3 linked regions of the Sus scrofa genome follow. The protein of the gene in region 3 purifies or fractionates together with the protein of the main gene of each other region. This does not show direct contact. Links are inferred from orthologs where the notes say so. Each region holds a gene or a part of one and is shown on either strand. Other genes may lie near its edges. The genes, in order: PPP2R1A, PPP2CB and ANKLE2.

Region 1 (3,647 bases), on a different chromosome or scaffold from region 3:
TCGTTATTTCTAACGTAGGTAACATGTGCGGTTAGGTACCCTTGCAGTCCTCGTGTTGCTTTTGAGGAAACAGAGGCTCAGAGAGGTGTAGCCACTCCTCCAAGGTCACGTGGGTGATAAGTAGGAGGAAGAATTTGAGCTGGGGCTTGGACTCCAGAGCCACGCTGGTGACCACTGTGCCATTGGCCCAGCTCAGCACCTTAGGAGGAGGGAACTGAGCCTCAGAGTGGCTCGGCGACTTGGCTGAGGTCAATCCCCATGGTGCTGGGATTAGACCTTCGCAGCGATTCCAGGGGCCTCGCTCTCGGCCAGTTCTCATTCACCTAGAGAACCGCCAAGCCCACTCACTCCTCCCTTCCTGCAGCTCCAGAAAGCAGTGGGGCCTGAGATCACCAAGACGGACCTGGTCCCCGCCTTCCAGAACCTGATGAAAGACTGTGAGGCCGAGGTGAGGGCCGCAGCCTCCCACAAGGTCAAAGGTTGGTGCTGGCGAGCAGAACACAGCAAGTGGGCGGGCGTCCAGGGGGCTGAAGGCAGAACCAGGCCCTCGGGTCTCACCTCCTGCCGCCTCCCTTTCCCTGCCCGCAGAGTTCTGTGAAAACCTCTCAGCCGACTGTCGGGAGAATGTCATCATGACTCAGATCTTGCCCTGCATCAAGGTATCGGGGACTGGGGGTGGAGGGGGGAACTAGAGCAGATCTAAGCCTTCGGGGAGGAAGGGTGGAGGTGAGGCTTTGGGGGCAGCCAGGTGCAAACCGAGCTCCCAGACTTCTAGGGCCAGGCAGGCTTGGGTTGGGGCAGTGAGGAGCCCTGCGTGCAGACTCTGGGCTGAGCGTAGGGGTGAGAGTGCTTCTCTCGCAAGCAGAGGTCCCTGGGTCTCCTCATCGGAAGGGTGGGGGCGGGGGTGCTGGGAGCAGGGTCGTTGATCTCCAGGCAGGCTGGACACGTGAGGACCTGCAGTTCTCCCTCTGCACCAAGCCTGCTCTGGGAGTGAGCACAAAAGCAGGCCGAGTCTAAGTCTCCATAGGAGTCGGAGTCTCCTTAGCCACTCAGCCCGCGGCTTCCCACTTCCTTCTCCCTCCCAGGAGCTGGTGTCCGACGCCAACCAGCATGTCAAGTCGGCCCTGGCCTCGGTCATCATGGGCCTTTCTCCCATCCTGGGCAAGGACAACACCATCGAGCACCTGCTGCCCCTCTTCCTGGCTCAGCTGAAGGATGAGGTAAGGGCACCAGCGAGGCCCTGAGCTCAGGGTGGGGTAAGGGCACCAGCGAGGCCCTGAGCTCAGAGCCGCTTTCCCAGATCAGCCAGGGATTTACCTCCTAGGACCTTCCACCAGCACCCACATTGTCGCTGCGTTGCATGTTTGTGGTCGTGATGGGCTGCATGTGAGGCACCTGTTCATCGGGCATCTGTTCATCATCAGGCATCTGTTCATCAGGCATCTACTTATTAGGCATCTATTCCTTAGGCATTTATTAGGATCTGTTTATTAGGCATTCATTTCACCTGCCCTTATTCTGCACTAGACCTCTGTCTCGGCATTGGGGTTACCACACAAGGAGTAAGACGGGCTTGATCCTCAAAGACCTTTGGCGGCGGGCTGTGGAAAGGGACATATGGGTTCCCCATGGCTCCCTGGTGATACAGGTGCTGTGCTGTGTTCATGTTTATCGGCGTTCAGGCTGAGATGCTGTCATAGAGGCCCCAGAATACAGTGGCTTAACCGAGGCGGAGGACTACTTCCCTTCCAGCGATCCAGAGGTGGGGTGGGCCTGCGCTGGGGCTTAGCCCTGCCGACCTCAGCACCCTGTGGGTCTCAGGTGGCTGCTCTGACTCTCGCCGCCTCCCAGCCAGTGGGAAGGGACAGGGCAGCCCACAGCAGCGGGCCTTGTCCCCTTGAGAGTAAGACCCGTCTGTTTTCTGTTCACACACCATTGGCCAGCGCTGTCCCTTGAGTGACCACACCTCACTGTTTACTTGGCCTGGAGCACAAAAGAGGAGAGCGAGCACCCCGTGATGGCTGGCGAGGGCGCGGGGTGACAGCCGGTGCGGGGAGGAGGTGGGGCAAATCTGGGGGTTAGGAAGGAACCCCGAGGCTAACGTGGAAGGAAGATGCAGGTGCCGTGGCCAGAAGAGGTGCAGGGAGACCACCCCCCCGGAGGCCGCTGCAGGAGCCTGGGGAGGGAGCGGGGCGCAGGGGTGTGGGCAGCTCCGCCAGGCAGGCAGGAGGACTGCGTGGGGCAGGGGTGGCAGGCAGGCTCCCTGGTTTCCTTCGGCCTTGGTGGTGACGGGGCAGGTGGTGAGACTGAAGGCTGGTGTGTGACCTGTTACTGCTGCTTCTGTGTTCCCGGAGCCCTCAGTCGCTTCCCCTGACACACGTGCACACACAGCACAGCGGTGCTCAGGTGGAGCGTGCCAGGGAGCCGGAGGAAACATTTTTTTACCAGTTCACTGCATCCCATCCGAGCCCCCCCCCAGGCGCACCCCCTCCTGCCCCCATCGCATCATTAGATTCTGCGGCAGCGGGATGATCTCTCAGCCCAGAATTACACATCAGGGTTTTATACATGCTGGAAACAGAGCCTTTGAAAGAAAACCTAGTGATCCTACTTTTGATCATGTATTTATTTCAGTTCGTGTTTGACCATCATTTAATTCTGTAATGACCAAAATTTTATGATGTTAAGTGCTTCACACACATATTTTCTTTCATAATCATGCTTTTGTAGCTGTAACTTGTTATAAATACGATTTTTTTTTTTTTTTTTTTTTTTTGCTTCCGTTGCCTCAGTGGGCACACCTTGGCTGGCGAGAGGCCCCTTCTGTGTTCTTTCAACACCCTCCCCAGCATCTTCAAGAGCATTCTGCTTTCTCATTCAAGAAAATCTTTTTTAAAAAATTATCAGAATAGTTTCAACAAGAAGAGAATTTTCCACCCTCTTCTCTCCCCATCCCTGAGAGTAAATGGCGAGTTTGTGGGAAAGGCTCCTCCTGGGGTGTCTGGCTGACCCTCAGGTTCAGAGTGGACCTCACCTTTTCAGCTCCGCCATCAAGGGTTGCTCTTCAGCTGAGGCCTGGAGTTCCTCGCCCGGCCTTGTGAGACGGCAGGTGCGCCACCCAAGGGGCAGCCCGCAGCCTGTAGGCGGCGGCTTAGTGGGACCCGTGTTAGTGGGACCCGTGTGCTGCCTTGGAGCCCACTCCCCGGGGGCGGTGTGTGTCACTCGCGTCTCCCTCGTGTCCGGAGGTGAGACCCCGTGTGGGGGGACGCCTGGTATTTTCCCACGTTCACAGCTGTGTCTGGGCGACTCGCCCCTTCGGGGAGAGGGAAGAGGCCTGCTCACTGTTGAGAACACTTCCGCTCTTGGTCCCGGGCGTGAGAACCGAGGCCTCACTCAGCTGGGGGTCTCCAGGCAGTTCGGGAAGCCCATAGAAATGGTTGTACGTGCCCTTGAGTTCCCTCTAAGCTCACGTACGTGAACTTAGGTCTCTATCCAGTTGGTTTTCAGCTTCTTCAAGGAAGAAGTCTTGCTCTTGGTTGGCTCTGATGGGTGCACCCACCCATCCTGTGCGGAGGGAGGGGCGCCCACCTCCCGGCCCTGGCGTCTGACCGCGTCTGGGCCCTCCCGGCTTACTCGAATCATCTGTG
Region 2 (3,647 bases), on a different chromosome or scaffold from region 3:
TACATCAGCCAAGGCACAAATTAAGACATTTCTACAAAGTAAAATGGCTTGTAGTCTTCAAAAAGTCAAGATTATGCAAAACTAAGATCTGCGGAATTATTTCCACATCAAAAGGGACTGAATACAACATGATCCTGGATTAAACACCCACATATACAATTAAATTTTTCTATAAAGGACATCAGTGAGATAATAAAAATGTGAATAAGGTATTTAGATAATAGTAGCATAGCAATGAAATTTTCCTGTGACAACTATATAGAGTGGTTGTGCAAGAGGATGTCCTTAGTTTACAAAATACACATGGAAATTTGAATATAAAGGGGCATCTCCCTTGCAACTGACATTCAAACAGTTCAAAAAAAGTAATGTGGGGTAGGAGGAACAGGAAGGGAGAGACAGAATGATAAAGCAAATATTAAAATATCTATCTTTGTGGAATCTGAGTGTAGGATACAAGGAAATGTTTTGTTACTATTTTTTCAATTTTCCTCTAATTCTAAATTAACTTCAAAAGTGAATTATAATTTTACTTTGGCCAACTAGTCCTTTCATATTTGCTTAAACCAGCAAAATTTTTTCTCCTTTCATTTAGGTAATGAGGAGGAATGTTTCTGACATTTTAATTCACTTTTTTTTAAAGCATTGGTTTTATTTTATTTGCATTTTAGGGCTGCACTCACGTCACGTGGAGGTTTTCAGGCTAGGGGTCAAATCAGAGCTACAGCTGCTGGCCTATGCCACAGCAACAGCAGCGTGGGATCCAAGCTGTGTCTGCGACCTACACCACAGCTCACAGCAATGCCAGATCCTTAACCCACTGAGCAAAGCCAGGGATTGAACCCACAACCTCATGGTTCCCAGTTGGATTTGTTCCCGCTGCGCCACGACAGAACTACCGACATTTTAATTCATGAACCCTTACTATGGATACGTTTACTTGAAATAGAGATCATCTTATAGGAAAAGGACATACCTCCATTACCAGTTGGTGAGCACGAGAAACCAGTGTGAGGCCATTGGCATGGTTAAATGTTTCAGAAATATCTTGTCCAAATGTGTAGCCAGCACCACGTGGTGAGATGCCCCACCCACCACGATCATCCGGATCCGACCATAAGAGATCACACATTGGGCCCTAACCAAGAAAATGAAGTACGTGGTACAAATTATTAGTAGTCATGTTTAACTAATCTAGCTGTACCACAATGTGGTTGTATTTCTCTCTTATTAAAACTAAGTTTACCTCATGTGGCACTTCTTGTAAACGATCCAGGGCTCTTATATGATCCAGTGTATCTATGGATGGAGAGAGGCCACCATGGAGGCAGAATATCTGTTTATGAATTTAAAATGAACTTATTTTATTAAATGCTAAAAGACAATAGAGTAAAAATAATGGCTACATGTCAATACCAGTGGCTTTTCTTTACAAAATAATGTTTAATAAACTTATAAAATACAATACAAAAACACATTATTAGAGAGAGCTATTAACATTTAAATATACTTCTTTTTTCTTTATAATCCTAGGTATTTTCTATAGTGTATTTCCCCCTTTCCTGTTACTGGTTCCAACAGTTCAATTTTCTAGAATTTTCTAAGTACATAATCATGTTGCTTGCAAAGAATATTTTCTTCTCAATGTTTATACCTTTTAGTTCTTTTTATTGCTTAGTGCACTGGCTAGGACTTCCCAAAACAAAACTGAATAATACTTTTTTCTTCTAGGGTGGGGGGAATATATATATTCCTCCATGGATTCTATGTTAAGAGATAATACAAGTTTTAGAAGGCAATTTTCTCTTGATTTTGATGAGTTTTTTTTCTCCCTCTTTTTATGGTTGTACCTGTGGCAAATGGAAGTTTCTGGGCCAAGGACTGAATTGGAGCCACAGCTGTGGCTCATGCCACAGTCACAGCAACATGAGTTCCAAACCACATCTGTGACCTACACTGAAGCTTGTGGCAATGCCAGATCCTTAACCCACTGAGCAAAGCCAGGGTTTGAACCTGTATCCTCAGGAGACTGTCAGGTTCTTAACCCTCTGAGCCACAATGGGAACTCCTAATAATTAATATAATTAATTTATAATTAATATAAATTAATAAATAATATTTATTATATTTTATTATAAAATAATTTCATCTATTCCCCCCAAATTTACTGGAATAAAGCTGTAACTGTTAACTGTGACATGTAAATGCCTCCAAACTTACAGCAATACCTTCTTAATCCTAGTGTTTTATGTGGCCTTTTTCTTTTTTTTTTTTCTTTTTTTTTTGTCTTTTGTTGTTGCTATTTCTTGGGCCGCTCCCGCGGCATATGGAGGTTCCCAGGCTAGGGGTCGAATCGGAGCTGTAGCCACCGGCCTACGCCAGAGCCACAGCAACGCGGGATCCGAGCCGCGTCTGCAACCTACACCACAGCTCACGGCAACACCGGATCGTTAACCCACTGAGCAAGCGCAGGGATCAAACCCGCAACCTCATGGTTCCTAGTCGGATTCGTTAACCACTGCGCCACGACGGGAACTCCTATGTGGCCTTTTTCTACATCAGTTTTGGGTATTGAATTTCTTTATTAGACTTTCAGAAACTGCTTCTGGCCATATTGTTCAACTGCATTTCTTGGTATCCATTTTTGTTTTTATCTTTTTTTAAGTTTATTTTACTGTTTCATTCCTTCCTTTTGCTTTCTAGGGCTGCACCCAAGGCATATGGAAGTTCCCAGGCTAGGAGTCAAATTGGAGCTACAGCTGCTGGCCTAAGTCACAGCCACAGGAATGGGATTCAAACCACATCTGTGACCTACACCACACCATAGCTCATGGCAAAATCAGATCCCCAAACCCTTGAGCGAGGTCAGGGATTGAACCTACATCCTCATGGATACTAATCGGATTTGTTTCCACTGTATCACAACAGGAACTCCAACTGTTTCATTCTTTAAATATTCATTTCACATTTCTATTTTTCTACAAAATAATCTATAAATAAATGCATTTCCTCGCATTTCATTCCTTATTTACATCCAAAAGTTTTGGTTTACATCATACTTTTTGGTCCAGTCATTTAGAAGTGATTTTTGTGTTAGTATCAGGTTGTGAAAGTTCCCAAGGAGGTCGATTTTTCATTTTCATTTATCCTTTTCTATTTAATTTCTCCTTCTCCCCCTGTCTTTTTAAGGGCCGCACCTTAGGCATATGGAAGTTCCCAGCCTACAGGTTGAATCAGAGCTGCAGCTGCCGGCCTACGACACAGCCACAGCAATGTGGGATCCAAACTGTGTCTGGGACCTACACTGTAGCTCACGGCAACTTAACCCACTGAGCAAGGCCTGGGATCGAACCCGCATCCTCAGGACAGCAGTCAGGTTTGTAAAGCCACAACAGGAAGTCCTCTCTTTAATTTCTAACTTAAGTTTTGTTCTACTACTTAGAGTCAGAGATCTTCATTTAACACATGATATATAAACAGATGGAAAGGAGAAAAGTGAAAGGAAAATGGGAAGGTGGAGAAGGAGGAAAGGAAGAACTTGCTGGTCTCAATGTACATAAAACTAACCCAATTCCTTGTTCTGAAACTTTAAGGGAAAGAGAGAGAAAAGTCCAAGGAGATGCAGAAAGAATGCCATGTAAACCCAG
Region 3 (3,647 bases):
GACCCTGCGCAGAAACCCTGGCCACCCCTCCCTGCACCCATCACCGTGGGCATCACCCCTCCCGCTTTGCCACCTGCAGCCACACATCAGGGGAGCTCCCTGACGGGCCTGACAGTGGTCCAGATGAACCTTTGTACAAATGTAGCTACTGACGCCCCCTGTGTAACGCCCACTGGTACCTCTGTCTGTCTGAGGGGGAGAAGCCCAGGACGGCACTCTTCCACCTGTTCACAGCTGGGTACTGCTGAGGGTCCACGTCCGCGTTCTCCAGAGCTGCCAGAACATCCCGATCCAGTTTTGATGGTTCCTCTCTGGAAGGTACGAGAAAAAGGAGGAACCACCATGATAACAAGCACAGACATCTGAGAGTTCCCTTGTGGCACAGCGGGTTAAAGATCTGGCAGTGACAAACTGCTGTGGTGTGGGTTTGATCCCTGGCCTAGGAACTTCTGCATGATGCAGGGGCAAACCGAAAGAAAATAAGAGAAAAAAAGCACAGATGTCAAGCACCACCACAACCTTCAGGCAGAGGAATACGATCTAGGCTGCGGAGAGGCCCAGGTGGGGACAGTGGAGGCGATGTGCTGAGGGGACGGGTCCTGCTGTGAAACTGCCTTCTGCATAGTCCCACCCCGAGGACAGCTGAGCAGAAGCTGGGGACTAAGATCCTGGCAGCCCTCCTTCCTAAAATGAACTAAACTCCTAGCACAGCTGGGTCACTCAGGAAGTAAAGCAGACACATCGAGCCAGCGAGGATGCCAGCCCTGACCCACTTGGAAGACCCAAGGACTAGAGGTGCAGGTCTGCCAGGTTGCGGGTTGAAGTGGGCCTCCTCATGTTCCCTCCCACTGCTCCACGTTCATGTGCATGCCCCGTGATGGTGTGTGTATGCCCCCTAATTCGTACCCAGACAGGAAGCGCCTCTGGACTGGGTCCTGTGAGGCATTGACCCCCGAGGGCCCTGAAGTCACAGAACCACAGCTTTGCTGGGCCGCAAGCCTGGGGCTGGTGGGACCCAGGTACAAGTTCGAAATCCCAGCTGACATCTCGCTTTCTGTCCTCATCTGCGTCTCTCCGGGAGGGTCGGCAGCTGGGAGTCCAGACCCGTCACCTTCTGCACTCACTCCTGATGCCAGGATCTTCTCTTGAGTTTTCGAGTTTTTCTTTGGTGTCTTAGAAAAGCTACTTTCTAGATTCTGCAAATTCAGTTTATCAAACTCAACAGTCAAGCCAGAGACAGGAGACAGGAACGCTTCCTCCCCAACTGGGGCCTTTGGCCTCTTCCCCCCCAGGGTCTTGCCCTCACTCAGGGGGCTGCAAAACCCATTTTTGTTGCTGTGGGGAATGGTGGGGGCGGAGGCTTCTATGAGTTCTGACTTCTGCTCGGAGGGGTGGATGTTACACCCCGAGGCTCTGGAAGCAGTGACTGCAGGCTGTGTGCTGCTTCGAGCAATGTTTTGCCGATTTTTGATCTCTTCCAAGCTCACATCCTCATCCTCATCTAGAAACGCCCCCACAGAGATGGAGTTGCTGCCCTTCCTGTGACGGCCTGTGGGGGAAAAAAGGCAGCCCTTCAGGGTGTGGGTGAGAGGACGCGCAGGGTGCCCCCAGGCACAGTCACAAAACCCCAGCCCAGGCCCTTCTCATTCAAAACCTCCTCCTCAGATTCCAAGACAGAAAACCACCTTCTTGAAAAAGGCTGGCAGGACCTTGCACACAGAAATACAGCCTCCGGGCCCAGCTCTCCTCCCTCCAAGGCAGGGAAACAAGGAGGAAGCCGGCTGGTTCCCAGGACACAGCCCATGTTCTTACCGAGGGCTGAAGTGTCCTCCTGGCGACAGGCTGAGTTTTCTCCCATGTCTTGTTGGGGCTTTTTGCCTACTTCCTGCTGAGTGAGATATTCTTCTAGTTTTTGCAGGCCTGCCTGGGAAGACAGATCAACAAAACAGCCCAGAAAGTCCCAGTATTCGACCCAGGGATACCCCAGCTCATGAGCCAGCTCTCTGAAAGAATAAAGCACAGTTAACCGGTTGTGAGACCAGGACAAAAACTCACAGAACTGCCTACACAGAAAGGAGCCTGATGCTGACAGTGCCAAAGCAACGCCTGTGATCTTGGTCTGGATTTCACTTCACCCTAAATTTGGGGCTGAAGTAGCCGCCCTCCCAGGGTAAGAGCGAGCACAGTTTCCCTCTCAGACTCTGCCGTGTTATGGAATGAGCCAACAAGGCCACTGGGGAGGAAGGAGACCCCGACCCAAACGCACCATTCACACTGACACTCAGGAGAGCTAGAGAGGGTCAACTGTAAAACTCCACTAATGGAGACCTTTTTGTTTTCATGAAACAACGGCATAAAGTTGGAGATGATTCTGGTTTGGGCCAGACATAAACGCGTAGAAGCCCTTTTCACTTTTGAGTTGTAAACCTAACACTGGGCACATATATTTTGAGAAAAAGTTCTAAAATGACTCAACTAAGTTTAATTTGATTACACTGTAAATTACCTTCTTGACTGGGGAAGGAATGCTTTCCAGGCACTTCTTTACTAGTACTTTCTGGCCACGCCCTCCTCTGATGCTTAGCACCTACCACACACTCACTGGTGCCTCTCAGACACCCCTCTGCCCTGGAGGGACTGTTTGACTGAGACGTTTGCTGCATGAGCTGCAGCCTGCACCTTTGCAAGGACTTACAGCCCTCACACTCTCCCAGTAAACTCGATCTGGGAACTACCATTGGGAAGGCAGCTGCAATTCTTTAGCTTCAATCTCACACAAGCACACAGCATCCAAAATGATGGTCACTTAGGGCCCTTTAAGTACCTTCCCACTCTCTCAATGCCTCTATCTGGATCCGATTTCCTGACACTGTGGAAGAAGCCTGCTTTCTCTCGAGGCGGGGTTTTCCAGAGTCGGCGAAAATCTTCTGCCTACGAAAGAGAGGGTGTGTTGAGCTATGCTCTGCACCCAGGTCACCTGGTACTGTAAAGAGCCACCAGCACCACAGGCACCCGCCTCAACCTGCAGGCAATGCGCCCACCTGTCCTGGAGCCAAGAGACCAACCCGGCCTTGGCTAATGGTCAGAGCTGCACCAGGAGGCCCCAAGGGAGACACTGTAGAGGTGCCACCCTGAGCCCCAAGTCACTTTCCCATCACAGGAGAGGAAGATAAACGTTGGTGCTTTTCATGTTTTATGGAAAATAAATATTGGTGCTGCTGAATCTAATCCTAACATTTCTGTAGTTTTGGGTAACTAATCATTGAGAAAGTTCTTTCAACAAGATTAAAGATTATAGACAGGTCAGTATATGAAGGACCTCCTTCTGGAAGGTGAACTTCCGAGTAACAGTGCAAATCCAAGACTCCTGAACAGGCAGCCTAGCTAGCAGGTCAAGACGCTGGCACAGGTGGGGAGCCAGGTGACGCTGGCCAGGGGAGGGTCAGCCACGTTAACCTGGCTTCTTGGAAGCAAGGGCTCATCACACACGGGCCCTGACTAATAGGTGAGGGACAGGATCAAGACACACCCTCAGTGAAGGTTCTGAAGCCCCCTTGACAATGCACTGGGGCTCTGCAAGAACTGGTCTCTATGACCAAGCACAAAGCGAGGGGTTGGACAGGCCAGCACTTCTGGCAGGGATAGCC

The links.
Region 1: the proteins of ANKLE2 (region 3) and PPP2R1A purify together in Homo sapiens (affinity purification with mass spectrometry; 7 studies listed by BioGRID and IntAct, with this or other methods). This does not show direct contact. The link is inferred for Sus scrofa from reciprocal best matches to the Homo sapiens genes ANKLE2 and PPP2R1A.
Region 2: the proteins of ANKLE2 (region 3) and PPP2CB purify together in Homo sapiens (affinity purification with mass spectrometry; 4 studies listed by BioGRID and IntAct, counting the BioPlex papers as one, with this or other methods). This does not show direct contact. The link is inferred for Sus scrofa from reciprocal best matches to the Homo sapiens genes ANKLE2 and PPP2CB.

What each region holds. Positions count from the first base shown.
Region 1 is NC_010448.4:57,937,319-57,940,965, reverse strand, and holds part of PPP2R1A (serine/threonine-protein phosphatase 2A 65 kDa regulatory subunit A alpha isoform), read left to right. Parts: intron 1-364; coding exon 365-479; intron 480-588; coding exon 589-659; intron 660-1,085; coding exon 1,086-1,220; intron 1,221-3,647. UniProt on the Homo sapiens protein: The PR65 subunit of protein phosphatase 2A serves as a scaffolding molecule to coordinate the assembly of the catalytic subunit and a variable regulatory B subunit.
Region 2 is NC_010457.5:54,312,760-54,316,406, reverse strand, and holds part of PPP2CB (serine/threonine-protein phosphatase 2A catalytic subunit beta isoform), read right to left. Parts: intron 1,337-3,647; coding exon 1,247-1,336; intron 1,139-1,246; coding exon 977-1,138; intron 1-976.
Region 3 is NC_010456.5:22,766,016-22,769,662, reverse strand, and holds part of ANKLE2 (ankyrin repeat and LEM domain-containing protein 2), read right to left. Parts: intron 2,932-3,647; coding exon 2,825-2,931; intron 2,004-2,824; coding exon 1,813-2,003; intron 1,550-1,812; coding exon 907-1,549; intron 312-906; coding exon 180-311; intron 1-179. UniProt on the Homo sapiens protein: Involved in mitotic nuclear envelope reassembly by promoting dephosphorylation of BAF/BANF1 during mitotic exit.